Linked DNA regions of Lonchura striata. The protein of the gene in region 4 purifies or fractionates together with the protein of the main gene of each other region. This does not show direct contact. Links are inferred from orthologs where the notes say so. Each region holds a gene or a part of one and is shown on either strand. Other genes may lie near its edges.

The links.
Region 1: the proteins of HDAC2 (region 4) and ZMYM2 purify together in Homo sapiens (affinity purification with mass spectrometry; 7 studies listed by BioGRID and IntAct, with this or other methods). This does not show direct contact. The link is inferred for Lonchura striata from reciprocal best matches to the Homo sapiens genes HDAC2 and ZMYM2.
Region 2: the proteins of HDAC2 (region 4) and C13H16orf87 purify together in Homo sapiens (co-immunoprecipitation; 4 studies listed by BioGRID and IntAct, with this or other methods). This does not show direct contact. The link is inferred for Lonchura striata from reciprocal best matches to the Homo sapiens genes HDAC2 and C16orf87.
Region 3: the proteins of HDAC2 (region 4) and MACROH2A1 purify together in Homo sapiens (affinity purification with western blotting; 3 studies listed by BioGRID, with this or other methods). This does not show direct contact. The link is inferred for Lonchura striata from reciprocal best matches to the Homo sapiens genes HDAC2 and MACROH2A1.

Annotation. Positions count from the first base shown.
Region 1 is NC_134604.1:72,084,850-72,092,016, reverse strand, and holds the start of ZMYM2 (zinc finger MYM-type protein 2), read left to right. Parts: upstream 1-3,890; 5' UTR 3,891-4,030; intron 4,031-5,024; 5' UTR 5,025-5,082; intron 5,083-7,167. UniProt on the Homo sapiens protein: Involved in the negative regulation of transcription.
Region 2 is NC_134615.1:9,961,997-9,969,825, forward strand, and holds the start of C13H16orf87 (UPF0547 protein C16orf87 homolog), read right to left. Parts: upstream 3,089-7,829; 5' UTR 3,011-3,088; coding exon 2,945-3,010; intron 1-2,944.
Region 3 is NC_134617.1:9,010,379-9,018,625, reverse strand, and holds the start of MACROH2A1 (core histone macro-H2A.1), read right to left. Parts: upstream 3,109-8,247; 5' UTR 3,010-3,108; intron 2,939-3,009; exon of another isoform or gene 2,813-2,938; intron 1-2,812. UniProt on the Homo sapiens protein: Variant histone H2A which replaces conventional H2A in a subset of nucleosomes where it represses transcription. Nucleosomes wrap and compact DNA into chromatin, limiting DNA accessibility to the cellular machineries which require DNA as a template.
Region 4 is NC_134605.1:67,188,517-67,196,732, forward strand, and holds the start of HDAC2 (histone deacetylase 2), read left to right. Parts: upstream 1-4,969; 5' UTR 4,970-5,102; coding exon 5,103-5,154; intron 5,155-8,216. UniProt on the Homo sapiens protein: Histone deacetylase that catalyzes the deacetylation of lysine residues on the N-terminal part of the core histones (H2A, H2B, H3 and H4).

The DNA.
Region 1 (7,167 bases), on a different chromosome or scaffold from region 4:
ACCATTGGAAAGATCACTTTTGGTTAATTAAACTGAAAATTACACAATCTGCTTATAGACAGGTAGTGATTTATTTATAAATATTACAAAATGTATATGTAGTCCAACAACCATAATGAAAACCACAGGTAATGTTCTGTACAAAGCATTTTTTTGTAATCTAAAAAAATTCTATGGGTTCTGTTACGTAAAGTAAAATCACACATATGTGGTATAATGGAATCATAGATTGATTTGGGTTGGGAGGGGACATGAAGACCATCTGGTTCCAACCCCTGTAGCATGGGCAGGGGCACCTTCCACTAGACCAGGTTGCTCAAAGCTCCATTGTACCTGGCCTTGAACATGGCTGGAGATGGGGCATCCACAGCCTCTCTGGGCAACTTGCTCCAGAGCCTCAAAATCCTCATAGTGAAGAGTTTTTCCCTAAGTATCTTTTTATTAAGAGCTTTAGTCTACAAAGAATAGCTGCTATGCCTGATGAAACTCAAAATCAGAACACTGGTAGAGGAAGTAAAACCAAAATGATGAAGCTGTTACTGATCATAGATGTTTTAAGATTCTGCTTTCTTTTGTTTTGATTTTGTGTTTTTAATTTCTTTTCCATCCACTACTATTTCTTGAAGTTTCTCTTCTTAGTATTGACCAAACACTAGTAGACCACAATTCCATTATGCCATGACTATGAGAACGTATGTTCCATCAACCTGTACACTTTATTCGCATCTTTCTTTTTTGTGATGGCCAAGAGGGACTGAGGATAAGTAGATAAAGAAGTAAGATTAAGGACAGAAAAGTAAGAGAAATATTGGGAGAAATGGTAGGGGAAAAAAGAAAAGTTGTTCTAAGCCTGGAACAAATGCCACTATATCATAGATAAATAACGTTGACAGCAGGAGGTGGCTTTAAACTATGTTCATCCTGTTATTACAATACAATATGCATCACTTGAAGGTTGCCTTGGTAAGTGCTTTTAAGATGTCTGCTCAAACATAAACTTTCCAAAATATGTCCGATTATTCCTTCTCAGTTCAAATACAGTTGACTGTTTTTTGAGAAAATAGTCCTCCATTACAGCCAGAAGGATGTCACTCTTGTTATAAGGTGATAAAGAAACTCTTGGCTCAGCTTTGTTGAATTTATCTACTCCCAGTCAATACATTTGACATTTTCTAGTAAGGTTACTGACATCAGGCCTGTCCATGAAAGAAGTGTCCATATAAATACATATGCTTCAGTTCTCTGGTGCTCATGAAGAGATTTTACTGCTTAGCATATGAGCTAATGCTAACTCTTTCAAACCATAAAAATAATTACTCTATATGAATTATTCTTAAAAGTAATCTGAATGATACATGGTTCTACAGAGGAAGAGGAATTTACATGGTTGCCTGAACTTTTTGTCCCTTTTCCTGATGTCAGTTGAAAAAATAAAGGAAAAATTATGGTGTATTTAATTACTTTTGGCTATATTTCAACATATGAATTTAAAACTAAGGTTACATGTCTATAGGGGGACAACAGTTCTGTGGAGTTATAAACTTTATTATATAAAAACATTTCATATAGTTCCAAGAGTGCAAGTGAAACCATTCAATTTTGTTTGAGCTGTGTTACCTAAAACATTAATGAAAATGTTCTATTGCTACGTAACAGACCTAGATAACACTGTTAGGTAATGTCTCTTGCTATAGCAGCGGTAAGATGCAAAGTATTCTCCAGTTACTTTTCATACCCCAGATTACTAAGAGCAATAGGTTTCTCTTAATGTGTTCCTAATTAGAAAAACACTTGTTTTCTACCATGCATTGCTAGTGCTTCAGTCCTCTTGAATTTCTTTCTGAACTCCATGAGAACATAAATGCTTATGGATAAGCACTGTTGTAGAACAAAAGGCATCTTCCTGAGATGTATGACTAGGAATGTCGGCAAATTTGTAATATGGAGGACAACTTAAAACAGCTTTGAATTTTACCAACCTAGATGATATTCCAGGCTAATGATGAGGATGGTCAGGAACTAGCTGACTTGATGGAGTGAATGGGATTCAATGTTGAAATTTCAACAGCTTTCTGGTTACATAATTAGTCTGGTAGTGTGATACTGCAGATCAAATGTTTTATCAATTTATAGGGCAACTTTGATACCTTCAAAATGGGTGATGATGCATGCAGACATGACACTTTCCTCGTTGGCAATGGTTGTATTAGAGTGCTTTGCCATCAGCTCACGTAATTTTTTGCAGGCAAGCTGCTGCCAGCCCTGAGGGAACTCTGTCCCTCCACACCAAATAGCCCTTCCAAGCTTCATCTAATGAGCAGTATGTCTTGCAAAAAAAGCGCCAAAACCAGCAAAACCAAATCCACATTAATTCCACTCAACAACATAGAGTAACAGTGCTGGAGAAGCTTTTGGCTTGAGTTGTTGATTGGAGCTAGTGTCTCTGGGTGGCATCATTGGGAAGAAATTAGATGTATTGTTGTGACAATGGACGATAGAAAATTTTCTCGTCTCTCCCACACATGAAAATTATTAGCCAAACACATCAAAGGTGGTGGAGAGAGGAGACATCCCTTCAACGACTCCTGCGCCGCTCGTGAGGGAGGCTGTCCCTCAGGCTGATCCCGCGGGAGGCTCCAGCTCCCGACTGGAAATGGCGCCAGCCGCTGAAACCCAGCGCCTTGCGCACGCAAGAGCCGCTCTCTCCCCGGGGGACGCTGCTGCGCATAGTTGACACGGATTGATCCCGGCTAGAGAAGGCAGGGCGGGCATTGCGCTGTCTCTCTCTCCCTCTTCTGGGCAGAGGAGGATGGGTAGATGGAGCAGAGCGGGACCAGCGCGCCAGACGGTCCTCGAAGGAGCGGGCGCTGGTGCCATGGCCAGCGACGGGGAAGGAGCCGCGCAAGGGAAGCGCGCATCCTCCATTTTGGCGAAGGGCGGGCGGAGAGTTGGCTCCCGGCGCCTGGCCGGAGCAGTCGCTCCCACCCCGCGGCATTGCCGGGGGCACCCGGCTCCTTTTCCCGCGGGGAAGCCGTAAGGAGGCTGTTCAAATGGACGCCCCGCTGCGCCTCACGTTGGTTCGAATTGGTACCAAGCTCCCCGCAGCGGCTTCCGACAAAATGGAGGACGCCACCACCACTGCCACCACCAACACCACCACCACCACCATCTCCTCCAGGAGCCATGTCGGCGGCTGATATGGCGCCCTCCCCCGCGGCAGGCGGGGGCAGCAAGGCGTCCTCGGCTGAGGAGGCGCTGCTCGGCGGGGCAGGCTGCGGGGACGCGGGTCAGGCGCCCTCCCTAGGAGACGCGAACTCTCCCTTTTCCCTCTGGGAACGCTTCCATTACCCATGCTCTATCCACCATGGGAATGACCCCAGGTTCAAAACCCTGGTGAGGGGAAGGAAGGAGCGGAGTGGGGCCCTTTGGAAAAGCACTGCCAGCCCCTATGGCTCAGCGCGGGGTCCGGAGTGGGAGAGGAGAGCCCGCGCCCCACGGCCGTAGCGGTGGCGCCCGCAGGGAGCGAGCGCACGGCCGGGACGGCTAGCGCACCCTGCCCGCGGCCGGCGGCGCGCAGCCGGCTCGGCGGCACCGAGAACTTCTGCGAGTTGCCGCTGTCAAACAGCGGCGCGGGGAGCGCCAGCGCAACCCTTGGGCACGGGTAACAAGCCGGTCAGTGGGCAGCGATCCGGGTTCCTCAAACCTGATGGATCAAAGTGGGAAGAACCCCAAGCATGGCCAAGAGGAAGATTGGCAGTTTATAGGGTCAACCGGCTGCGGGCGGCTCTGATGGATGGGCGGCGCACCCACTCGGCTAGCCCAGCGCCAGAGCCCGCCCTCTGGGAAAGCCAATGCCGGGGCAGGGAGGCGGATCTCCCCGAGCTCCCTTGGCCCGGTTCCTCCTCCTCTTCGCCAGCGGCTGCGCTTCGCCCGGGACTGGACCGAGTTAGAGTTGAGGCGCCGGAGGAGTAGCGCAGAGTGCGTGCGTCCCCCGCGGGGGGGTTCGTGCCCGCAGGCGGTGGGGAGCCGGGTAAGGCGCGGACACGGGGCGCTGCGCCTCACCGGGGCGGGCTGGCGGGGGGCTGGCAGCGCTTAGCTGCCCCCAGGGCGGGGATGGGAGGGCAACCGCCGTGCCTCACAGCTACCCGGCCAAGTACCCCGCGGTGTCGCTGCCGCGCCGCCACCTCTGGCGGCGGGGATGCGGGCGGCACCGGGGGCAATCCCGCGCATAACCATCGCGCCGCGGCGGGGGGCGGTGGGGAAAAATGGGGGGCGCCCGGGGGCAGCCCCGAAGGGGGGGGGCAGGGGTATCTGGGGGAAGGGCCGGGTCTGCTCTAGCGCCTCCTATTTTAACTCTCTCCGTCCCTTCCCCGCCGGGCCCTCGGCTGTTGTTCTGCCCCTGTGCCTCCCCCACCCACCGCCCTCGCAGCCCCCCCGCGGGTACCTCCCTCCCATCCTCTCCCCTCCCCTGCCCGGCGCTCCGCGGCTCCCCTCCCGTATTGTTCGGCTGGGTCCCTCTAATGGCGGACAGGAGGCGGTAGTGCCGCTGGCCGACTGCAGGGGGGCAAACCCGAGACCGGGGGCAACTGCCGCGGGGGGCGCGGGCGCTCGCCCGGCGCCGGGGCCGTGCCGCTGAGGGCCCCGCGGCCGCTCCGGGCGCCGGTTCGGGGCTTACAGGGCAAGTTCGCAGGTAACACTCGCTGCTCCCCGCCGTGGGTGCCGCCGCTGCCTCTGTCCCCCACACTCGCGGTAGAAGCCCCCCGGTGTGGCGGCGCCCGGGGACAGCTCCTTGTCCCTCCTTCCTTCAGCGGGGACAAGCTGCGTGGGTGTGCCGTGAGGTGTACCCCACCGCCCCCGGCGAGGGCAGTAGATTTGTTTGTTTGTTTATTTATTTGAAAGATTGGGATTAAAGGGAAGTGGTGAGTGATGCAGGCAGTACCTGCCCTGGCCAGGCGATGGAAACGCTCCTTGGGGGCGCTGCCTGATCCTCGCTGCCCCGTGTTAACCCCATGTCTTTCCCTTAGGCTCCAGCCCAGTTTGGTGCAGCCTTGGCAGCGACCAACAAGGAGAGGGAGCTCCATTGTGAGTGCTATTTGTGTATCTGTTTCTGCCTTTGCCAGACCTCCTAACAGCGGGCTTGAACCATTCCCCCCGCCCCGTATTCTCCTGGGGCAAGGGGTGGAATGAGGTCCCTCTAGGGCTGGGTGGGGAAATTCCTGCGTTCAGTAGCCGCTGCCCTGGGGCGAAGCCCCAGTAATGGCTGTGAGGCGGCTCCTCCTCGGAGTGGGCGCTGCTGCTGCTGCAGACATCGCTCCTGCAATACCAACTCCGGCAGGCAGACGACGGGCTGCTGCCGCTGCTCACGTTACCCGGCTCGGGAGGGAGGAGGAGGAGGGCATATTTCGGGTGCCCTCTAGAGTTGTGTAGCGTGCGTGAACACCCGTGACAAGACACCTTCAGCCATCTTGAATTTTTCTCCCCTCCTCCATTGCTCGAATCACGTGTCCCGCGTATCATCTCGAAGCTAAGAAGAGGCATGGGAGGTTTAAAATCACCCAGCAGTTTGTAATGGAGAAGCACGCTCCATGGTCTCTTTGTGACTGGTTCACAGACTGGTTCTCTACACCCGCAGATTTGTATGGGTGGTCTTGTTGGGTTTCTTGGCTGGGCTTCTGAGCCATCCACTTTGTCCCTTCCCCGGGAAGCTGGAGGACACTGGTGAAACCCACAGGTAGCGAGCATTTTTGGTGTTTTGTCTATGTGGAATTTTGAGAGCAGATTTTGATCTCTGTTGGGTGTTAGGTTGGCTAAGGAGAGGCTTGTTGCCTGCCAATACCTGTGGGTAGGACTGGGATATAACTTGAATCTAGCTTCTACCCTTGTTAATATTGGGGCTGTATTTTTATCTGCATGGGGGATTCCGAAATGGCCAAGTAGCGCGGCGAAGGAGCGAGTGAGGGTGCGAGCGCTCGGGAGAGGCTCGGGAGCTGCCGCGGCGGGCCCGGGCGCGGTGCGCGGGCTGCGCCGCCAGAGGCGCCGGCGGCAGCGCGGCGGCTCCGCCAGGAGCGCGCAGCCCGAGAACAAAACAAAAAGGCAGCGCCTCTCTCGCCCTATGGGTCCCTCGCTTGGTTACAGCACGGATTCAGGTGTTGCGGTCTTCCCCAACACTCGTATCTTGGATTTCCCCCCCGCCCCGTTTCTGTCCCTTTCTGTTTTACATTTTCCAGATTCGCAGAGCTTGCAACTTTCTTTGTCACTTTTTGGTGGCTTACATATACAAAGAATAAGTCGTTCGCTGCAAAGCCTCACTGCTTAGGATGAGGACATCAGATCTCTATTTGTTCTGCACGTATAAAATTATGAACTGCATCAAAGACTTGTAAGAGTTTACATGGCATGTTATCTTTAATAAAGTTGTCTGTTCCAACCCTTGACTTGCTACAGCAGCTTAAAATTTTGAACAGTAATTTTTAAATTCTTACCATATCTTGGATGCAAGGCTACCATCTGATTTTACTTCTGATTCATTTTTTATGCATTCCAGTCTAATAGCTGTTCTTTTTTTTCCGATTATCCTTCATGTCAAATAAAGTTACTTTAAGGAAATATCAAGGCAAATGATGCTTTGGAAGAAGGGAGACTGTTGTGTACTGGAGGTGGTAGGTGGCACATTGTCCTCCTCCAGCTGCAATGATGGTGGTATAGCCTTCTTATGGCATGTGATAGGACCATGCTGTTCGGGGTATTTGGTGCTTAGTGCTGCAAGGTCATCTCTAGGAACCAAACTCGTCAGCCATGTTATTTGGTGGTTAAGCTAAGTAACTTATTTTAATAGAAGTCTGTCTTAATTAGAGCAATAAATTAATTTTATTATCTACTAAATTGGCTTTATATTGTTGTTATTAATCCTCTCCAACCTCAAATATATTATTGCATTTTCCTGTTGCTCATCCTGTAATAACATGCTAATAGGGATTTGCTTCAGCAAGGATGTCAAAGTGGCAATGAAAAAATGAAAGCAAGTTTCTCTGTCTTTTATAGAGCTTGTTCAAGTATGTACAGAGGGGAATAGTACAAAGCTGGTACAATGTCTTTCAGATTTTTACTAGGGTTTTTTGGTTTGGCTTTTGGTTTTTTTGGTCCTGCAGAATCATGAATTGTCTTGTG
Region 2 (7,829 bases), on a different chromosome or scaffold from region 4:
AAGGCAACAAGGCCGGGTGGGTACAGAAGGACCTCTTTAATTGAAAATGCAAATAACCCAGCCCAGGCAGGCAAGAACTGACTGCAGGCCCAGGAGTTTGAGAGAATACAGTGCCTCTGATCAGCTAAGCAGACAGCAGCAGTATGCTTCCCCCAGAAAATGACAATGTAAAACAAGAAATGCCATATTTAATATGAAAAATAACAAAAATCCACTCAGTGCAATTAAAAAAAAAACCTGATAAATTACAAAATTCGTTACCTTAGTGCCAAGATCTTTTAAGATCTTTTAGAGTACTAAGCAATACACCATGTTGCTTTGATTAGGTTTAAGACTGAAAACACAAATCAAAGCAAGTTTAGGCAGAGATCTGGAAGAGATTAAGTAACACACATTACAGTGGAGTCATGCTGAAGCATGATAGTGAGGGGAAAAAAGAGGCAATTTCTCAAATGTAATTCTTTAAGACAGGTCACTACAAGTTTGCCAATACCCACTGGAACAAACAGGAGCACAGAACCACAACTGCCCCCTCAATTTAACCAGACATGAGGAAGAACCAAGTTCCAAAGTTCCACTGACTCAAAAACCCCTGCCAAATTAGTATGTGAATTTGTACAGGGGAACTTAACTGCTACTCAAAATAAACAAGTTATTTTGCTTTCTGTAGCACATCTGAACTCCTGCATTTCATCCTACAAAAAGCTTGCAGATAGACTTTTTGACATGGGTTTTGCAGAACTAGAAATTTTAACTCCCTTTATGGAGACACTGATGTGATAAAAACGAGTCCAATAGAGCTTTCTTGAACTTTAAAGGCCAGAATTTAGCAGACTTGTGTGCACATTTGTCTCCTGGTTCATATGCCAGTGTAGAAGTACTAAAGCCCCCCTATCTCACTGATAATTTGTGTGTGTTCTTAAAGTGATACAGAATTCCAGTTAAATCCATTTCTGAACACTTGGGTCTCACCAATAATTACCTTTCCAGGCTTGGCCTAAAAAAAAAAAAAAAACAACAAAACAAAAAACCACAAAACTTTGGCAAAGCCACCCAAGGGGATTGGAACAGGGTCAGTATTTTAGTATTTTTCAACGAACTCAAGTCTATTTAACAGAACAATACTGTTCTCGTGTTACAGGTTTATCACGTAGGGGTGTGCAGCACTTGAGGGTGAAGGGGCCTGGAGGAAGGGGCTTATCACTGAAACCTATCAGTTATCCTTTGAAGATCCACACTGATAACATCCTGCATCATAATTAAGGCAAAAGAGTCCTAAACACTATTTCACATTGTTCATCATTTTCCTAATAAAAAGGGAATTTTTCTCATAGAAGACATTTTACCTGATGCTAAATTAAAAAGTGATTATTGTTTCCTCAGATTGCCTACAAGTACTTCAGGCTCCCTAGTTTAATGGAACTGTGCTTTGATTGTGAAAATACTGAAATTTATTATCTAAATTACAACAGAAAAATGTTTTGAAGTCTAAGAAGTGTAACTCAATATTTTGCTCCAATAATTGTGGCTGTCTAAATATTTCCATTAATGTCACTTCTACTGAAAAAATCAGAAAAAAATGCTAAGCCCTTGCTCATGGAAGCATTTAAGAAACACCAGCATTGGACACAGTCAGAGAAGGATTATATGAGTTTCCTCAAAATCTGCAAAGGGTTGACTTGTACTGTTGGCCTTAGTTCCTTGCTCCCTCTCAAATATTTGGCAGTGGAAAACAAGGTCCTATGAGCAATGTGTGCCAGGGCAGGACATATAAGCACATAAAATCCATGGAAGCCATGGAAGAGCTCCTAACAGAAAATCTACATTGACAAAAATTAAAATACATGATATGCATGTAAGTGCAGAACAAAGTGACAGTTTTCACGTCAGCTTAAAAAATCCTACAGTGCTTCCTTACTTATTGTTGGTAGTTTGACATTCACTACATTTATAAAAAAAAAAGAAAACAAAAGAAAAACACCACCACTCTCGTGTATGATTTCTCCCTCGTTTTCGTTTCTCCTTTCACCAACTGAATAACCAGAACTTGGCACACGATTTCTTTCTCAGAAATAGCATTTCAGTGACGTGCTTAACGTGCATTTGCAGCGGTTGCTCTGTTGGTTAAAACATGAAAGGACGCCCACACACAGCTCAGCGCTCCCAACCGTGCCAGGATGAGCAGCAATACTGCAAAAACTATGCAAGTCAGAACAAAAAATGCCATTTTTTTTCTAAAGCTCTGCAAGCAGAGAAAAATGATATGAGGCTGTTTATGTTTTTCCAGGTGTGGCTAAAGCAGTGAAGAGGGGTGACTTTCGGGGTCACAGCACCGGGGTCCCTGTGACAGGCGCTGCCCCCCGGCCGAGCCCGCGGCACCGCCGGGCCATTGTTCGGGCTCGGCTGCACGAACCGGCTGCTTCCAGCACTCACATCACTCCCAGCAAACCAGACAAGCTCCTGACACGGCAAGGCAGCGGTGCACAGCTCTGTATGTGCGAGCAGCTCCATTTTGTGCACGCCAGGAACCCGCAACACCAGCATCTCGGGCGGCACTCGGGGACCGGGCAGCAATTGCACCAAAGGTCTCCATTTCGCTGCTCCCCGACCACCCCCGGAGAAAACAACACCTCTGAGCCCTCTCCCGCCGAGACCCGGGCTCACCAGTCATCCAAAGGACAAACTGCATTATATACATCACCCGGTTCATTGTGTTTTTAACACATCACAGAGTTACTGAACAACACCAGCACATAAACAAGAGGTTCTGCAGTCGCGCAGACACCCCTCAGCACAATACAACCACTCCACTACCCTGCCGGAGGGACGCGGCGTTCAACCCGCATTCCATGCAGAAGCTGCAAAGGCAACAACCATTTGGTTCACACGAACACCGACTCGAGCCCGCCCCTGCACAGCCCAGCGTCCGCCGGCAGCCGCTCACCTGCTGGTCGCACTCGGGGCAGGACTTGGTGGCCATCTTCACTTTCTTGGCCCTACTGGAGGACATGCTCGCTGCTGCCGTGGCTGGGATGACACGGCCGCGGCGGAGCGCCCGCCCCGGGAGGAGCCGGCGGGAGGAGCGGGGGGAAGGAGGCGGAGTGAGGAGCTGGCGAGAGGAGCGGGAGGGGGCGGCCAGAGGAGGAGGGGCGGGGGAAGGAGGTGCGGTTGGAGTGAGGGGCGGGAGTGAGGAGCCGGCGAGAGGAGCGGGAGGAGCCCCGCGCGCCCCCGCCAGAAAACAAGCCCCGCCCACCTCCGCGCGCGCGCGCCGCCGGCCCCGCCCACGCCGCCGGATTGGCTGCGCGTGGGCGGCGCTCGGAGCCCCCCGGCGGCCGCGCTGGGAACGGCCCCGGGGCTGGAATTGTGAGGGGAGCGGGAACGGCGGGGGGAGCGGGAATGAGGGAGCTGACAGAAACGTCCCTGCCGTCAGGAAGCACCAAACACCACTTCTCCGGTGTCCGCCTCAGTTCAGAAAAAGACAAGCCCGCAGCAGAGGCGGGTGTTTATCGCCTGCTGCACTGCTGGTCCAAGAGCCGGGTGTCTGGCCGTGCCTTTTGGAGGGTTCCGTCACAAACGGGATGTTTTCGAGTACAATGCCCTCAGACAACAGTGTGCTACTGCCAGGCCACTATCAGGACCAGGACCACAGCCATTGGAACAGCTATTCAGTTAATTTCTGACACATAAATTGCGTTTATGTCCTAGCGAGTATCCTCCAGATTGTCATACCAGCCCTCTCCAACCTATGAATACAGCATGATGAATAAGGACTCAAACAGTGTTCGCAATGTCCTCTCCTGTGCCAGGACAAGCTGTTGATTGTTTTTCTTCCCCTTCCACCAGTCTCTGCCCTGAGCCCGGTTCCCGCAGAGGGCACGGGCACGTCCTGCTGTCCTTGTGGGCACTGGGGCTCCCAGGTGAATGTTGTTTTCTGGCTGTGTGCTCGGGTACCAGACTGCCTTGTCTGCCCTTTTCCTTTCCTCCTCAGTATTGCAGTTATGACTCAGAGGGTGGATTTGTTTCCCTGTTCTCCAGCCTATACCAGTCCATTGGCGCAGGTGTTTCTCCAGAGATACAACAAAGACAGGTTTATTTTTCATATAAACTGTGACTGATGCCAAAATGCAAATATGTTCTATGTAGGCACAACATCCGGATTTAATTCCTGAATTCAGAACAAATCCAAACAACCAGGACCTTGAGCTTACATTTGGATTTTTAATTTTTTTTCCTTAATTGATAAGGTCCAGACATAGCCAAACACAGAAAGGTATTTGAGGAGGATTCATAACAGCAGGGGGCTCTGCTGAGTATAGTAACAGTATATTGTAAATAAATTAATGACTAGAGCTCACAGATATCTATGACAATACCCTGCTTTTCTTCATAGAGCAAATAGTCAGCTGTTCAACTACTCCATAAAAACAAAAATGTTTTCCTTACTGAATGCAAACAAGACAGTTCCTAGCTAGAAAACTGATTTACCATACAGTATTTTTCATGTTATTCTAATTTTTAACATATAACTTTTGTGTTCTGAAAGTCCAAAACTATTTCTTTTACATAATTTCAGAGGCTTAATCCAGCACTGAGATAAAAACAAGAAATATAGTTTTAAGGGTACAGCTACTTTCTCTCTTAACAGAGTCGAGGCACTTTGCAAGACCAAGCCTCACTTAAGATGTGTTTTACACCAATTTAAAATTGAAAATAAGAAAATTATGCAATGTTTCTATCTTATGAAAAGCTACACATGAGTTTTTAAGTACCTGATAGCTCCTTTTCTTTGCTGTTGTCACCAAAGGCTCCAGCTGAATTGAATGGCCTGAGATGTTTCCACTGCCTGGAACATCAGCTGCCTGCACATGGCAGTATTTTGGTGTGCAACTATAATTTTACAAGGAAACAAAAATTCTAAAGTAGGAGCAAGTCACACACCCAATCCACCTTAGAGTGGGAGAGAGAAGCACTCCTGAGTTGTATTTCTGCTCAGCACTCCAGGCAATTTGGAAGTATCCTACTCTCCTGTAGTGTCCCCTAGGAGAGTTGACAGCCTTGGGCTCTTGTCAGCCCCAATGTGCTGACAAAACACAGCAAACTGAGAAATTAAATTCCTAAAGTGCTGTGCAACCTTGTGTGAAAAAGGTTATAAAACACATCCTGGTTAAGTAACAACTTCCTAATTAGTCAGCTATGGTCAGCAGGGGTTTTGTTCTTTCCACAGCCAAAGTACTATCTAGAGAATTCTTAAATTATATCTAAAATACAAGATTAGGATGCATGAGAGCAAAATTACAACTAATAGGAAGAGTTAAATTATAATATTTGCAATGTTACCATGAAAGAATTGAAGTTGTAATGGGACAGTATTCAACTGGCAAGAAGAAAGTACTGTATAAAAAAATTCACTGGTTATACAGACAAGCTTCAATCCTATTTTCTTATTCTGATTTTGGTAATTTTGATAATAACAATAGTTTATAGTATTTAATAATGTTACTGTATCACCAGTAGATTTCAGGATAGCTATAATCTGAGTCCCCTCTGAGTCTTTTCATAGGCAGAGTCGTGCCTAACAAGTCCTTTGAGATCCCATTACTCTGAATCTGGGCAAGACCAACATTTAAGTGGCACAAATGTTGGCTTTGTTCTCCAAGTACAGCTAAATATTGAGTATTTCCCAATTACAAAGCATTTTTCAATTCACAATGTTGTTAAGCATTGATGCCTCTCGGTGTTAGGAAGCCCAGGCTTAGGCTGGCTCCTGCCTCAGGCTCAGCTGAGCACATTAATGCTTGCCTGAGAAAAAAAAGGCCACAGCCTCAGATTTTAAAAAGAAGCTTTTCTTAAAATAGCAATACTTTAAACTATCTAATAGCAGTAGCACCTACTGTTCCCTTAGAAAAGGCTTCTAACATTTTATTCTCACATATTAGGCCTTTTTTGTGGGAAACTTTATAAAAATCCACATGGTGTTCAGTTGGGTTTCTACCAATGAATATAGTTTCACCAAAAGCTTACATTATTTTCATGGAGCATCTTTTCAGTTAGTTCTTGTGAAGAGAATTCAATAGATTAATTTACACATTCCATGTGACTTTGGTTTTTGGGTAGGAGGTTGGGCTTTTTTTTCTTCCTCTTTATCATGAGATAGAGAGTTGTTAAACATTAAGGTATGAAGTCACTTAACTTTTGCAGTGGACTGCACTGAACTTTACACCAAATCTTAAAGTTTTTGTTTAGTTTGGAGAATAGTAGAAACAGTCACTTGTCTGAAGATGCTCCTTATATTCTGAACTGCTATCATGAACAGTAGTCCACAGTAAAAAAAAAAAAAAACAAAACAAAAAAAACACCCTCCTTACTTGTACAACACAGAATACAGAAAACCTTTCTCTTTTTGTCTGAATAAACGTAATTTTCCTAATGTGGTTTCCATTTAGTTAGTGTGCTCAAAGATTCTCAAATATCATTAAAAACACTTTGGCATTTTAAGCTATTGAGAGCAGTTTTCTATGCAGAGTCTTTCTTTCAATGAAACAGCAGCAGCAGAATGAATACTCAGTTACCACATGTCATTATTGTAATCATGGGGTTTAAACTATGCAACTATTCATGGCAAAGCAGCTTGTTGAAGGTCTGTCAGAATGGAAACATGTGACAGCAGCTGTTATTCTGTTTATAGCCCTTATTTCTCCACGTCTCCATCTCCCTTTCCATGTATTTATGCATTTGCTGCTGTTCTGTATCTCTAGTTTGGAACCAGCAACATGAAATTCATTATTTTAGCTTCTCATAACTGCAAGAAAAGCAACTTGTTTCTTTATGACTAGAGGTGGAACACAACATGGACATCAAAGAACCTTGGTAAGCAGCACTGTCCACTTCAATATCTGGTTTGTCTGAAACATGTGTTCATATGATTTGCATATTCATTTAGGAACAATTTTGCCTCAACATTGCAAGTTCATCCTACACTATTTATTTTCAGGAAAGCATCTGTATTAAAGTAACCTTTGGAGATACATTTGCCACGTGTAAAGAGAGAGATACTTTTGTCTAAAACCACTTTATGCTGCATTTACAATGGAAAGGCTTTGTTTCATCCCATTTATTTCCTGTGTGCATTTCTAAGAAATTACCCAGACTATTGAATTCCAGTTTTGCATATATTTATTCCAATGTTCTACTAAAAACATTTTGGCTGGTGCCAAGTGCATTTGCAGGTGTTGAGCCTCAATCCAAGGCTGCCCTGTGTTACACACTAACCAGCAGCCTTACCGAATTTGCAAGCAAGGTCTCAGGGCTGCTTGGATTGTCACCAGTGCAGGGACAGAGATGTCAGGGGATCTGTGCCTTTACTTGTGAGGGATCAATGGGAGCCTCGGGGGCAGTGCTGCTGGACACTTTCTGCTGGCCAGCTCTTTCTGGGGGGCGGACTGGGGGTGGAACAGCAGCATGTGGACCATGAGCAAAGGTTAAATTGTGCTCTTCCCACAGCAAAATTAGTATTTCCCAATTACAATCCAAACTCTGATTTTTAATAGTCTGCATAGCATTTCAACCTTGAGTTCTAAGGAACCATGAAATACACTTGAATTAAGATACCTGGGAAGTCTACTTGTATCAACTGAATGCAATTATTAGAATTTAAAATAATTGGAACATTTCAGGTCATCTGATAAAAGCTTACTATAAAATCCAATATGGTTTTGTGATAAATCCAACCTTGACATGTCTTACCACAGCTTGAAAAATTTTCTTCTGAACTACTTTTTATCAAACCTAAAAAAAGGGACCATGACACTGTTAATTATTGAACTGCCAGA
Region 3 (8,247 bases), on a different chromosome or scaffold from region 4:
TCTTGCATCACTCCTGGAACAAGGACCATGAGCTGAATCCTGACCATCCTGTCTTTAGAATGGGCCTGGGTAAGGAACTACAGCTTCTTTATGTGCTCACAGCATCCTTCCCAAGCAAGCAAACAAGCCAGCCCTGCAGTCTTTCCATGAGTGCTTTATTTTTCTTTTCCAATTTTACCTCTTGAGATGACAAAACCTAATGCTTAGCACTACCCACAGGGCCAAAATTTCCTCTCCCAATGGAGAAACTGTCTGGAGGCTCTTTTCTCCACTTGTGGCATCAGTTACAGATCCCTGCTCTTTGATTCCAACATGGGGTAGGACTACCTTTTCTGTGGAACAGACAGCAAGCTTTGAAACTAGCTGACAGAGCTGCACAAAAATATTTCTGTACTTCTCTGAGAGCAAAGGTTCATGACTATACTTCCAGAGTGTGATTCTATCACCTACCTTATCAAGAAAATATCTTTTATCAATGATCATTGCTATGCACCGGCAGAACTAGGCAACTCCTAAGAACAAATTTAAACACACTGGTTTCTTTTAAGACTAAGCTTGCAGTGGTGGACTTCTCTTTTTGCTCATGCTGATCTACAAAATAAGCAGTGCATAAGCACTTTACTGACTTTAAGCCAAATTCTAGTCTTACCACTAGTTTTCATATCAGTTATGGCTTAATCTACACTGTCAACATTTGACTTTACTGGCAATCAGAAGCAGCACACACAGAAAAGCAAAGTTACTGTTCAAAAACCCAGAAGGTCTAGATTTCAGTGTGAAAGGTTATGAAACACAGTGCAACAAAATAACCTGTAACCATTACTAAGTAAACAATTTAATTCCTTTCTTTCACAACACTTAAAAAAAAAAAAAAGCTCCAAACTCCCAAATACACTGAGTAGTTTTCTAGGGACTGTTTGATGCAAAATCTTCCATACCCAACTGCATTAAAACATAATTTTCAAAGCAACTGTAATTGTCTTGCTCCAACATAAGTCTTTCAGCTCTGGGCTGTCCCTAAGAACCCAGGTACTGTTTTTATTAATGTCACTCTTGCTCCTTTGCTAATTTATTTCTTTTACTCTTCAGAATGGGGGAGGCAGTGGATCTGCCAAGTTCTCTACAGACCTGTTGCTAAGTGACAGCCACACACAGTCCTGGGGAAAAAATGGTTGTTCACTTGCACGGTCAAGAGATAAATAACAAGTCTCATCCAAGTATATTTCAACAACAAGTCTCCTTCCATCTCTACAAATGAAGCAACCTCAGCTTTACACCACCCTGCTAGCATAGGAGCTAGTTCCAACTAGCTGGCTTCAGGCAAAATTTCATGGGCCTTCTACAACTTTTAAATATTACAGAAGAAACAAAAGGATTACAGGGAGATGCAAGTCACTGAAACAGTCTGTTGCCCTCCCTGTCTCCTACACGCACCAACACGTCAGCCTGGAGTCCGAGTCCCAGCGCTGCTGAGCTGGAGCGGGTGCGGAGCCCCGGGAACCCGCACTCACCTGCACCCCGCAGCACTCGGAGGAGCCCCAGGAACCCGCGTTCACCTGCGTCCTGCAGCACTCAGGGGAGCCCCAGAAACCTGCGCCCCGCAGCACTCAGGGGAGCCCCAGGAACCTGCGTTCACCTGCGTCCTGCAGCACTCGGGGGAGCCCCAGGATCCTGCACTCACCTGCGCCCTGCAGCACGCAGGGGAGCCCCAGGAACCCGCGTTCACCTGCGCCCTGCAGCACTCGGGGGAGCCCCAGGAACCCGCGTTCACCTGCGCCCTGCAGCACTCGGGGGAGCCCCAGGAACCCGCGTTCACCTGCGCCCTGCAGCACTCGGGGGAGCCCCAGGATCCTGCACTCACCTGCGCCCTGCAGCACCCGCGGTGAGCCCCAGGAACCCGCATTCACCTGCGCCCTGCAGCACTGGGGGAGCCCCAGGAACCCGCACTCACCTGCGCCCTGCAGCACTCGGGGGAGCCCCAGGAACCCGCATTCACCTGCGCCCTGCAGCATGCAGGGGAGCCCCAGGAACCTGCGCCCTGCAGCACTCGGGGGAGCCCCAGGAACCCGCGTTCACCTGCCCGGCCGCACCCGCGGTGCCCCCGGAGGAACTCCCACCCCCAGCCCGTCCACACGGGCTGCTCAAATCCCGCAGGCAGACATATTGCAGCCTCCACAAGAAGTGACAGTCCTAAAAGAATAAGGAGCCCTGATTCCAGACAAACATTTATTTTTACTACTCTCAGAAGCCTCTGCTTACGGTTTAAAATACATCATTAGGCTTTTTAAAATTAAGTCATCCAAACGAGGCAGGTAACTTTTACACCGCGGGTTCCTCATCCCGAAGTGAAACACACGGAAAACGAGTCCTGCTGTTTTTTGCCTTGTGTTTTTCGCAGTCTCCCTCGATTATCCTCCCGTGCTCGGCGACCCGCGGTGCGAGCGACAAGGACGGAGCCCGTCCGTGCGTGGAGCAGCCGGGACGCGGGACCGCGGCTCCCAGCCCCGGCCGCTCTGCACCCCGCGGCTCCCCCAGCCCCACACCGTCATTCCACAGCGGATTCCAGGGAAACAGAGCCCCGCTGCCACCATTTCGCGGGGCGCGGGTGGATCTCCCGGCTTCACCCGAGGCGCAGCAAGAAGCAGCTGAGCCGACTCCCGGTTTTCCTCAGGGGAGGGGACCGGCTCCCGTCCGTCCCACGGCGCGCCCGGCCGGCTCGCTGCCCCCCCACCCCGCCGGTGCCACCGCGCCGCCACAGAGCGCCCCGCGCCCCCTCCTTGCCCACGGCGGGCGGGCCACGGCGGTGACTTACGGCGCGGGCAAGATGTCTCCGGTCGGCCGGCGGCGGCCCCGCTCCCGTCCCCGCTGCCGTCCCCGCTGCCGCCGCTCCGCTCCGCCCGCGGGGCCACCGGGATCGGCTGGACGGGCTGGCGGAGCTCCCACAATGCCCCGCGCGCCGCGCGTCACATCCACCGCCCGCCCCTGGCGGCGCGGCTCGCCGCTCCTCACCGTCCCTCACGGCCTCCCCGCGCTCCGCTCAAATCCTTCGCCATCCTCTCACGGATCCCCTCACGGCTGGGCCGCCGGTGCCGCCATCCCGGAGGTTGCCGGGGCTCTGCTGCCGGCCCTGCCGCCCGCCCGCCCGGCTGTTGAAAAGGCCGGTCCCTGCTGGGGCTGCGCTTCGGCACCGCGGCCTCCGCAGCTGCTGCCGGCCCAGCCTTTGTGTGCAGGCGCCTCCGCTCCCACGTTTTCAGGACGGGGAGGTCTGAACGAGGCGTTCGCGCTGTGGTCTCCGAAGATTGAAGTTCATGGAGGGAAGAGAACGAGCAGCTGGATTGTTCCGTGAGGGGCACGCACCTCCCTCGTGCTATACAAAAATGGCTCAGTGCCATTTTACCAAGGCCCCAGATGGAGCCTTTGGAGGCGTTTGTGCGTGGGCCACACGGATGTCCTTGAGCTCACCTTGCCGGATTGGGAGCGCTGGGTTGCTGCTTGCCCCCACACCCTGTGCCAGACCGAGGGTTCATTCCCTTTTCCACCTCTCTCCTGCCTCTCCCCATTGCCTTGCCCACCGGCTGCCAGTGGAAAAGAGGAGTTGCTACAGTGGATCTTGGCTGCGGGACAGACAAGTCACAACAGACTGCCTCTGTTTTTATAATGGTGGGACTAGAAGCAACTGGAGTTCTTAAAGTTCTGGAAGATTCCTAGCTTGCTAGTGTTCCCAGACTGTTGTGCTACTGCCATTTGAATGGAGCATCCTATTCCTTCAGTACCCAAAGCAGAATGCCAGCCCATAGCCTCCTCCCCAGTGTCCCTTGCTGTTCTTTCATGGGTAGAACTGTACCAGGTGACAAGTGGCATAATGCCATTACTACTAGATTACAAGGAGTTTCTCTCCTGCTCTTCTCATCAGCCACTCTGAGCTCCAGCTCTCCTTATTTTGCTGAATATCAGCATATCATCACAGGACCTTTGTCATACAAAATAGAACACAGAAAGGAAGAAGGGGGTTTAAAAGAAAAAGAAAGAACAGGGGAGCGGGAGCAGTCTATGTAAAATGTGTGTCTGGTCTGAGAAAATCCTTTCAAAAAATGTTTCAGGCATTATAATTGCGGTGCTCTCATCCATCTAAATGGCCAGACCTGGTCTGGTTTTTAACATAGCTAAACTCAGTGTCTCCGGAGACATCTCTCATTACTTCTCAGTGCACCACAGGGTCAAATGCAGCCCAGTCCTGACTGCACTCCCTGGGTGCTGATTGTACCTTGCATGTCTTGCAGTGGTGCAGCTTTGCCTAACAAAGGCTCTCTGCTGGGTAAGTACCCTGGTTGCCCTTAACCCAAGGATATGGATACAGTTCTTACTAGGCCATCTGCCACAGCTCTTACGAGCTGAGGACACACTGCTTTCCCTGTGTTCCTATCCACACACATCATCTCCTTCCCACCTCCCCCTTCTCCTCCTCTTCCTCCTCCTCGTTGTCCCGCTCTGTTTTTTCCTTGCTGGTAGTGCTGCCCACGCAGTAACATTTTCTGTATGCTGTGCAGAGTACCCAGCAGAGCTGGTGTTGCTCAAGTGCATGGCTCTTCACACTGTTTTCCTGTCACCCACACAAGCTTTATTTAAATAAAGAAAAATCCAACAAAAAAAACAAACCCAAACCACAAAGCCAACCTTCCCCTAGATATATCTGTTGATATGAGCTGCAAAGGCCTGTGTAAAATTGAAGAACACACAACATTGTCTGATGGGATTGATGGAAGGGGTAGGGACTTGTGGGCTGTAACTAGATCATCTTTAAGGTCCCTTACAACCCAAAGGTCGCTTTCTGTGCTCTTCTGCTATCATTGTTCATTTTGTCTGGCTTGAAAGGATGTCTATGGATTTTATGCTTTTGAAGAAAGCCTTCAAAACTTCCAATTTTATCTTTCAAAGCCTTCTCAATTGGTGAGAATTTCTGGAGTGAGAGCTGCCTGAGTTTGCAGAGGGCCTGAACAATTTGTCTGTGGAATAGGATGCTAGTATGAAAACTGCTGTTGATAATGTGTAATGTTAGCACTGACTGGCTCACCTCCCACCAAAACACAGATTTATTATATTGAACATCTGCTGGATCTACAAGGAGTGCCCATTTTGAAAGCACACAATGTATTGTGACTGTCTTGAAGTTTCTATGAAAGCCTGTGAAACTACACTACATGAACTACCTCACTAAAACAAATTTGGCTTAGATTTTGTTCTCTTTGCCAGTTGTGATATATTTATTTATCTATAAATTGATAAAAAGCGTATTTCCAGGGTTCTACTGCCTTTATTTCTAATATAAACAGTTCATATTCTTACATTTATTTGCTCTTATTTTGACACTGAATCTATAATCAAGGGACTATTTGCAGAAGAAAGTTCTAAATGATTGAGAATACAAATATTTAACTGTTTATGCAACAGAGGTGGTGGAGAAGCAAATATCACCTGGGAGGGGACAGAGAGCAGCCTGGGAAGGGCTGGGGGTAATCCTCTTAAACTTAGGTAAGCATTTTCAGTTTGGGATAGCTACTCTAATTCTAAATGTGTCACCTCTTTTGGCACTGGTATTTGTTTGTTGTTGTATGTTTATTGGCTAGTGAGAATACATGTGCTAGGTTACTGCAGGTTGCTGAAATACTCCTTCAGGATGTTGTATACCTAACCAGCAGATACCTGCTGTTTTCCTTCAAACTTCACATGGTGAAAAGGACAGATTCCTCAGACATGACCTGCTTCTCAGAAGGGGTTTTCTGAACCTCCTTCAGCTGCTCAGCCTCCTCTGTCTTTGCAGACTATGTGACTAATCCATGCTTCTTAACTTCAGCTTACAGTGACACAGATAAATATACCTGTACTGTGCATCATGCTAGTGGCATTCTTGCCTTCACCATCACAGGGGCACAGTGACTGTACCAAATCCACTCAGTGCTCATGCTCCTAAAGTGACCCACAGAATTACTGCCTGTCCCAGGGCAGTACTGGCTGTGACTTACAGAGCTCACCCTGGCCTTCCAGCAGGTTGCTGTAATCCACCGGTGTCGTTACCATCCCGAGAAATGACGCACCACAGGGCTTGAATGTGTGTGGGCCAGGCCTTTGCTTTCACTTCCCTCTATTTTCCAGACACTCTGAAGAAACTCAGCTTTCCTGTTACTCAAAATTAGCAATCAAAATCAGGAAGTTCTGCAACTAAGGTTGCCCACAAACGGTGCTGGAAGCACAGTATGTTTGATACCTGTTTGGTTCAGGGTCAGAGCCATTGATCATAATGATCCCTTTTTATCTCCTCTATCTAGACCACCAGAGAATTGCAGTTTGGTTTCAGCACAGTTCAAAACCTGACAGCTAACTGTTGGACTGAGCTGCTGTTTTACACTCAGCCTTTCTTCATCTGCCACAGGTGAGCAGGATTAATTCAATTTTCAAACAGTCAATCTTTGCTTTGACATCCAAGTCATGACAACTGGGATATCCTCCCTCTTCAGAACATTTCCTCCTGCTTCGACTTTGTCAAGGCACTGGCAACTCTATTAATTGCCAGGCATGTTGTTCTGTGGCAGAAGTGCTGACTGGTGTTGCTATGTTATGGTGAGATTAATACTTCCAGAGCACAAAAAGTGGATGTCTAAGATTTCTTTCCTAGGCTGGTAGACAGAGATAGGTTAGTACCAATAATTTACTTTGTTCCAAATCTTTTTAGGCAGGCGACGTCTTACTGTTTTCCCCAAGATGATATTTGTGCAACTTTTTCAAACATGGATGCCATTTGTCATTGCTTTCTTCTAGAAAAATGTCAGTTATGGAATTTTTTATCAATGTTTATACCCACTGTCAGAAAATGTTTAATTGCTTTCAAAGTACTTTAAATAAAATGTCACTTTTTAAAAAAAGAAGCCTAATGTCTTAAATTTTTAAGATGAAAATGAGAGCCACTATGATATCTGCACCTTCTAAAACCAGAGTAGGAAGTTATTAATACAGTCAAGGGATGCTGGGACAAAAAAAGACCAAAGTTTGTAAAATCATTATTAATCTGTAGATTAGGGATAATATTAACCTGCCATATAAATCACTTCAAAACCTGCTTCTTCTACATAGAATCAAAGTGCTTTTTGATTTATAAAACCAATAGCCCAACAGCAGTATGACGCAGGGGCAGCAGGAAACTTAAATGCCTCTTTCTGAGCAGTATGGAAGAAGTGTGCTTTGAAACAAGCCTGATGCACCCTGGAGTACCCAGGCACACTTGTCCATTGCTCCTGTGGTCACAGCTGCTGCCAACATAACCTGGCTCCCACATTGTCCTTTGAGCAGATCAATTAATTCCTTTCTGATTTTGAAAGCAGCCTCTTGCATTGCTGCATTTTTAATGTCAAGTGGCAGGAGAAAGTTCTGCATTATTGTGCAAAGATAATATTAAATCCAAGAGCTATGATTTATATTATTAAGTCAAAGAATTCAAAATTAGTTCACATAATGATCAGCTCAATGGCTCCTGGTAGCTGGTGTAAAGCTTGGCAGATAGTAATGTAGTAATAACTCACATTTCTTATATTTAGTTATTAGGTCCCATTGCTCCACTACATTAATTTTCCATGTAAGCAATAGCTGTACTTGCCAGAGGGATTTTATATAATTGCAGATGGTAGGAGACATAGTTGGTAATTGCAGAAATGCAGAGGGAGATGTCCAGGAGATGATCTTCTATTAAGATGTGGCCGTTGCTATGGAATAATTTCCTAGCTGCTGTTCTGCATGGGATTGCTATGATGCATCATTTCATATAAGAGGTTATTTTTAAAGCAGACCCATTTCTTTGCCTGCAAAAGCAATATCAGATCACCTCTCTGAGGAATATTAATTTAAAAAGCTCCTGTGCTGGACAGCAGACATATAGCATATGGTTCATGAAGAGTCCACCATAATACCAGGCAGCAATGAAATCAGGTGCTTTCATATCCTACTCCTTAAATTAGACAAAACTTCTCTTGCAAATGCAAACATCATTGGCTGTCATAGCAAACCATAGGTTACCAGGGATGATGTCCTCAGTTTAACCTGAGCTCCATAAATTCGTTATATCAGAGACAGTCCATTATTCCTTCTGTTTATTTTGAAGTATGTTCTCTGTGTGGAGGTACAGAATGAGGAAGTGATGGTGCCAGCTATTTGTGATGGACACAAAAGTATGTTCATGTCAAAAGTGCCAAGTGATGTGGT
Region 4 (8,216 bases):
AAAAATAAGTCTTTCTTCAGACATTACCCGATATAGAGGACATCATTGAGTTTTCTCACTGAAAGCATGAATAAATTAAATTGATCTGTTTCTGCAAACAATGACCACTGGAAAAGTCTATATACCAGGCATTCTAGCCAGTCACCAACAAATGGCATTTAAACTAAAAAAATAGTGTGAGACATCTAAGTTCTTCTAAAGGTGAATGTGTACCATTTTCCTTAGGTCTCTTAAAACCTTCAGTACAAATAGGAAAAGTTAATTACTATGCTCTCATTATACTATACCTACCATTGCAGTTTTCTTCTAATCCACCTTCCTACTCCTAACAACTCTTTAAAAGGTAAGATTCTAAAAGAAAATATTTGAATATTGATGCTTCTAGCCACTTATTTAAAGACAAGCATTAGAACTATTGAATTATGCCACTTTCAGTAAAACCTGTATCTGCAAGTTTATGTGCTGTGCACTGAAGACAGAGTTTTCCTGGCTATCAAACTGCCAGGCACACAACTGCAGACGGAACCAGTTTCAGGCAATTGCAGAGACAATCAGAGAATGGGTACATCTGTCCTAGGCACAATACGAAACAGATTAATTATATTTACACACATGACATAGACATGAAGACACTGCACAGAAAAATGATAGGCATGTAAGAAAATATACTGGCCTACTACTGTTTAAAACTAAGTCATTGCCCTTACTATCAGCATGAGCATTCAGGAGCAGGGCAAGCTCCCCCAGTTCCCAAACTATTGCATAGCACTAAAACAAAATCACTATTACTCTTAGCAATTTCCAGCAGCAATTAAGGAAGGATATTGAGCAGCCTTGAAATTCAAAAGCAGTTGGTAGATAGCAATATTGTCAGTGCTTACTGGGCAAATAAGCTATCTGAATCTGAGCAAATATGAACCTTTTTTTTTGTTTAGTTCTCTTTATCTATGTTTTCTTTAATGATTTTGACATTCTACATAAAGTGATTTCATTAGCAAGGTATTTGCATGATGAAAACTATGTTTTCTTCTCAGGAAAGTGACTCCAAAACTTTATTTACTCTTATGCTTTCCAGAGCTTATCTAAGGCCTATCAACAGCATGAACAGAACAAGTCAAGAGCATTGTCTGTGATTTTTCTCCACACATATATGTCTGTTGATTACAAGCTTGCAGCTGTGAATGGTGCTAATAGGTATCACTTGAAAATGCTGCTTTCACAGATAAAAAGAGGGTGGTAGGAGAAAGGAATATGGCTAGGGGTAAGGGAGGTGGGTGGGGTGTGCTGAGTTGTGCTTAATGGTATAAGCTGTAACTCTTATATGAGGAGTTGAATTTATGAATATATTTTGTATGTTTCTCTAAACTAGTTTGGATTGTTGGGGTTTTTTTTTCTTTTATTTTTGATTTTATGGTCTGGAATGAGGTGATCTTAAAGACCCTTTCTGGCCTTTGCTAATACAGAGATTCATCAATTCTTAGGTGAATAATTTTCTTTGCTTTTTAAAGAGAAGTTTTGTTGTTTCTTAATGGTTTGTTGGTTGATTTTTAGTTTGGTTGGCTGTTTGGGGTTTCTTTTTTATTTGCTATAGATTTCATTTTCAGTTTTAGTGCATTTTTTTTTCCTGTCAATTTCATTAGTTATTGAGCTCTGTTAAAGAGAATTAAGGTGGCTATATCGACGTGTGTGCATGGGCTTTAATAGTTTGGATAAGAAATAAGCTTAGGTGATGGCAAGCTTTCTAGCTGTATCGTTCTGCTTTTAGATTATGCAAGGAGAGAGAAAGAAGGTGAATTGTTCATCATTTCATGGTGTGCAAAGTAATACTGCTTTTCTATAGCAGCAGTTAAGAGAAAAAATAGGTGCTCCAGATCCTCCATTTAAGCTCTGTTTTAAAAATACCTTTAGTTGAGTGGAGGTAGGGAGAGTGAAGGGATTTGAGAATTATAGATTGCTTTTTGATAAGAACAGTAAAGGGATAAACTGTTACTTATAGAGACCTTCTTGTCCATTATTTGCCTCATCATTTTGTGAGTTTTTACAGTAGATGTGATTTAGGATAAATGTGTAAGAAATAATAATACTTTCTATTGCAATGTTGGATGTATATGTTGAAGATGAAAGTTACTCTTCTGTTTAAAAGATCCTTATTGCTGCTTTTTATGTCCCTTCCCAAAAAAAACCTTACTATCTAAGGTATAACATAAATTCAGTGTGAAATAACAAGCTAATGTTAATATAATGATGCAGGGAAAGAGTGAAATAACGTTAGCATTCACCCAGTAACAGAAACAAGCCATTACAGGAAGGTAGAAAAAAAATAATCATTACATTATAAAGTGTCTGCATGTTGCAACATAGTAAAAGTAACAGCAGCCTTTCCCAGTGATACTTTGTTATCTGGTCTATTCAGTTTTCCAAGGGGCCTGGGCCTCAGCTGGCCGGTGTGGGTGTCTGTTTACCCCACAAGTGACGCTCCGAAGTTTCCTCTCGATCATTAGCTTTTGTGTAGCATGCTGTTCACTTAACAAGCAGCTTTGAAGACATCTGCAAAACCTGCATTGCTAGAAGCGGGACTGGTCTAGGAAATCACCCTCGTATACACAACCCGTGAAACTTGATATTTAAGCTTTACTGACCTTTAAATGTAATAGTGTCCTTACTGTCATACTGAGCTACTGTGAATTCAGTGAATGAATTCTTACCCCTTTGACAAAAGGATAACTTTATATGCTTATTGACACTTTCTTAATGCAGGTATGAGTTGGTATTCAAGGAGTTTCTCTAAATAAGAGCTGCACTTGCCTAAATTCAGATGTTAGAAGACTATGAATAATTATTTTTGCCCTGAAAGCAACATAGCCTCTTTTGATTTAGGCCATTTAAACCAAAATAAGTTATTCCTATATGAGGTTGAGTATCCATTTGAGACTAATTAAAATTATGAGCTTTTTTTCTTCACATGAAGTCCCTAATAAGAACTTTAACAATACATCACTGCTTTTATTGAATTCCCTATGTGGTGCAATAAAAGTATTCCTGATATTGAGGTAGTTGATATGTTGTTTTACTATTTTGATAGAAAAATTTATCAGACAACTACAAAATGTTGAGTAATTTCATAAACACATTGAATTTTAGTGGTCAAAGAAGCATATAATGCGGTGGTTAGCCAATACAAAATCATGGAGCTTCTGGAGTCCAATCTAAGTCTGTTCAAGTAGTGACAGCACTAAGAACGCTGAGATAAAAAGGAATTTATCAGTAAATGGATATCGTGCCTCTGATAGTGTTATACAGGTATTTTGCTGCACTTCACACCAAGAAACAAACATCAGCTGTATTATAAGATGTAGGAATAAATTTTGTATGCTATGTCTAAGAGAAAAATTTCCAAATGGAATATGAAAAAAGCTCTTTAAAAATGCTATACCATCTGATGACATCGTAACATAATATCCTTTAGTTAAAAGGTGAAGGATGGGGGGTGGAATCCAGGATTATCCTAAGGTGTTTGTGCATGCATGTGCTTAACAAACTTATTTTACAGTTGTCTGTCTCTAATAATATAAAATTATTTTTTTAAATCAATTACAAGGACCCAGACCCCTGTGAGGTACTTCTAGGGGAAAAAGCAACCTAATCCTGGGAACAAAGACCAAACCTGTGTTCAGGCATGTATTGGTTTTGTGTGACATAGGTTATACTTGTTGCCTTGTTTTCAAATAGTGAAGCACATGTGGCAATAACCAGGGGTTTTAGTTACTTTTAGAGACTCCAGCAAATCAACAAACTTTGGTCAAGACTTGGATGAGTGTAAAGTCTGTAAATATAGGCCTTTGGGGTCAGCTGAAGAAACAGTAAACTTTAGTGTAACTGATGTGTACCCCCAGACTCAGTTTATCAGGCATCACAAGTGTGAATCCCTGTATAAATAGAAATACAAGCAAGCTGGCTAAGCATGAATGCCGTCATGCTTCTCCTTCCTGAGTTTGTACCTGAGCCGAGGCAAGGAGAGAAAACGGCTGATAGATCTCCAGAAAAAAATTATTCAGATGTTAAATGCTTCTTGTGTGGCATGCGCTGATTTTTTGGGAGAATTGCTATATGAAGCATGCTTTGAACTTCCTCTAGAACAGGAATACTGAGATGCAACGCCTGCCACTAAGACAGAGTACTGACAGACAGGAGCACTCAAAAAAGCCGAAACAAAACAGAAACGAGTTTTGTTGTGGAAAAGAGTAGACTTTCAGTTGGGGAGGGGACCAGACGCGACAACCCAGCCGGCCGAGCATCTGCAGACGCCCTGATGAGGATGAAGTTCGGGCCCTAGCGCGGCGGAAAGCGCTGCGCGGTTGGGGACGAGGCCCCGCGGCCCCGGGCGGTGCGGGGGCGGCTGAGGGGCTCGGCCGCGGCCCCGGGCGGCGCGGGGCCGGCTGAGGGGCTCGGCCGCGGCCCCGGGCGGTGCGGGGGCGGCTGAAGGGCTCGGCCGCGGCCCCGGGCGGTGCGGGGGCGGCTGAGGGGCTCGGCCGCGGCCCCGGGCGGTGCCGGGGCGGCTGAGGGGCTCGGCCGCGGCCCTGGCGCTGGGCAGGGCCGGGCCCGCTGCGCCCCAAGCGCGGCGGTCCCCGTGCCCGCTCCTGCCGCAGCCGCCATGGGACACCCCGCGCATGCGCCACACAGCTCCGCTGAGGGGCGGGGTACCGCCCCGACACCCGCGGCGGATCGTACCACTGCGCGCCGTGGGGGTGGGACAGAAAATAGTTTTCTCCAAGAATTTGTTTATGAAGAATTCCCACTGGCTTCTTCCCTGGCTTTTGTGTATAACTAAGGAAAACTTTCACGGAGGGGGCGGCGGGAATCCACGTCCGCTCGCGTGCGCCTTCTCCTCTTCCTTCTTTCCCTTTCCTCCCTCTGTCGGCGGCAAATTGGGCGCGTCCCGCTAGCTGCCCCTCCCGCTGCCGAGAGTCCGGCCCGCTCCCGCTGCTGGCGGTCCCGGCGTCGCGAGTTCCCGCTCTCCCGCCCCCTCCTTCCCACCCTCCGAGCCGGCTCCGCGCTCTCCTCGGCTTCCCGCTCCCTGCCCACGGCCCCGACGCGGCAGCCCTATGGCGTACAGTCAGGGCGGCGGCAAGAAGAAAGTCTGCTATTATTACGACGGTGAGCGGGGCCGGCGCGGGAGCGCGCGTGCAAGAGCGGGGGGGGCGCCCCTCTAATGGCCGCCCGGGGCGGGCTGTGTTCCTGGTCCCGCCGGCACGGCCGCCCCCGTCCCGCGGGACGAGGCCCTCCCCTCCCCACGCCCGGCCCGGCCCGGCTCGGCTCGGCCCCATGGCGGGCGGGGGTCCTCGCTGGCTTCACCTGCGCCGCCGCGCCCCGCTCCCGCCGGCGGCTCTGCTGAGCCCCGCGGGGCGGCGGGGCCGGCGTGGTGGAGTCGGGCGAGGTGAGGGTCGGGGAGCTCCCTTATCCCCCAGCCCCGGTGGTAGGTGCTGTGGCCATTGTTTCGCCCCAAAATACTCACCACCCGCCCGCGCGTCGTGCCCCCCCCCGCCCGCCCCCTAAAAAAAAGAGGAAAAAAAAAAAAAAAGAAGAAGAAAAGTTGAGACACTCCCCTCCATCCGCTGAGCAGGGAGGCGTTGAAGCTGCTGCTGTGTCTGGCTCCTCCCCTGCAAAGAAAGTCCAGGCCATGTGTAGCTCTGGCACCTGGTGATTGTTGAGCCGAGGCCTTTCCCTGCCTAGCGCTTTCATGCCGAGGTCTGGGGTACGGAGGGACAGGGGCTCTCTGCCTCCTCCTCCCCCATTCCCAAGCCGAACACGGATCAGAGCAGAGGTCTGGCTCCCACGAGCCTCCCTTCCCGCAAAACGCGGAAAGTTGTGTGCGTGGGTGGTTAATAATAGTGGAATTTGACTTGCATGTAGGCCCTCTGAGTTTGCCACACTGGTGTAGTGGGGACACAGGGGGCTTGCGATCGGCGTTGTCAGTCGTGGCAAAAAAAGTGCTTGGTTTGAGATATTTTCAGCAACTTGTTTGCGGTTTTCTCTGGCCGCAGCACCAAGAACTTCTAGTTTTCTTAAGCTTGAATTTATTTAGCCCTTTTTGTACTGGGAGGTGAGCTAGATGGGCAGATTAGTTTAGAGATTTGATTAAATTGCCTCCTATTGTAACAATCTTGTATGGCTGCATCTGAGACTGGTCTTGGAAATAGTCAGCAAACAGAGGTTGAGGATGTTCAGCCGGAGACCTTTGGTGTTTTCACCATTTTGGAAGTGAAGATGAGTGGCTAAACCCACTCAAGATATCAAAGGTTGTGTTGCTGTAGCAAACCTGCTGTTCTTTGGAAATGGCAGATCTTGTGGGGCCTGTCTTGGCTTTTTTTTTAACCACACTAAAGAAGGCAGAGTGGTGGTTGCCGCCCCCTTCTCTTTGTTGCTAGCAGTGGTTCTTTGTTCAGCCTAAAGGGGAAAGGAGGCCCCTGTTAGGGATACTTTTGTTGAGGCTAGGATCTTACTTTTCCTAGGGAAGAGGAATCACTTTTCGCCTTGTTGAAATAAAGACAGCAGTGATAGTTTATAAGCTTTCTCTCTGAAAATGTTTGCCTTTTTTAAAATCAATTTCCTTTTTTTTTTTTTTTTTTTTTTTATTTGATAAAGTCAGGTAGCTGTAGTTCACCAGATGTTGATACAGTGTTTTTCTGTGATCACTGGATTTGGTACTCGATGCTAGCATTAGATTCCCTAATCTAATGATTAAAGCTATACTTGTGAAGAGTCAGGAGAAACTGGAAGAGGAGCAAGTTTGGAGGTGGCAGGAAAATGGTGACTTAAAGCAGTTGCAGCTTATCTGTAGACTAGGATAAATGTAGTTAATAATGTAGAGAAGATATTACCTGTTGTACCTTAAAATAAATATTTTATATGTGCCAGAAACAGTTTTGGAATATTTTTGATGTCTCATTTTTTTGTGTTGCCAAATCCAACAATTATTTTGCATGCCTTTTGGAAATAGAGTTATTAGAAAAAATTTTAGAGTTAATACCGAAAATAGATATCCTGATGCTACTGTGTGGTTCATCTGGCAATTCTGAATAATACTAACTGTTGTATCAGCAAAGCCATTGAATCACAGTGAACAGAGTGTTTGAAGCCTTAAATAACCCAAAACAAAAAAAAATACTGAGGTAGTGGTATATCTCTAAAGGAATGTCATGTCTGAAGTAAATTACCTCTTTTTTTGGGTCATAATTGGCTCTCCACACGTACTTTTACTCTGTTTCTTAAAAGTTACACACTAAAAGGTCTTGAAAAGTTCCAGAAGCATATACGCTTATCTTCTGAGATGCAATAAACTTCCCCCTGCTTTTTGTGAAACTTGGTATGATTGTCATTTAATGCTGATTTTTTAATTAGCTTGTCACTTCTTTAGAGTGTATTGTTGTTAAGGCTTTTTTTCCTAAATCAATAGTTTTAACAGTCTTCATACTGTATGTGGAACTAATAAACTTTGAGTAGACAAAGCTTGATTTCATTATCTTGAGTTTGCTCGCAATAGAAAGTTAACCACATCCAATTTTGCAGAATCTTCACTGCTTGTGATCATGCTCAGGTCAGGAACTTTGCTTAAATTTAAGCCAGTATACTATGGGAAAAACGAATTAAAATATGAATTTAAATACTTCCATGATCTTGCTTAAAATATTTTTCAGAAATTCTTCTAGTCTTGATACAGCTTAACAAAGTGTGCTCCTCACACTGCTTAGAACCATGCTAGATGTGGAAGGCTATCATAGTTTTTAGTTTACTCTCTTGCCATGTGTCTTCAGGTTATTGTCATGGTTTTGCAGCATTGTGGCTCAGGTAGCTCTTCCAAGGTGTTGTACAGTTGCCCACAGCAGTGAGAACAGACCCCAGATGGTCTTTCCAGCTCTGTGCTCCTGCACAGACTGGCACAGCTCTAGAGAATCGTGCAGCAACTGGTGTGGTTACTGTGAGTTCATGTATTTATTCCATGCCGGTGCACTAGCAGTATTGTTTAGATTGGTTCTTGTGCATAATTTAGTGTGGGTGTTCAAAAGGCTCTACCTTCATGAAAAAATTTGAAAGATCTGCATCAGAGTTTGTTGGTTCCACCCATAAAGACGAGACTAAACCTGTTTTAGTAGGGCAGTGTGTTACTATAGTTGGGCATTGTTGGAGTAGTACTTCTGTTAAAGCTTACATCTGCAGAT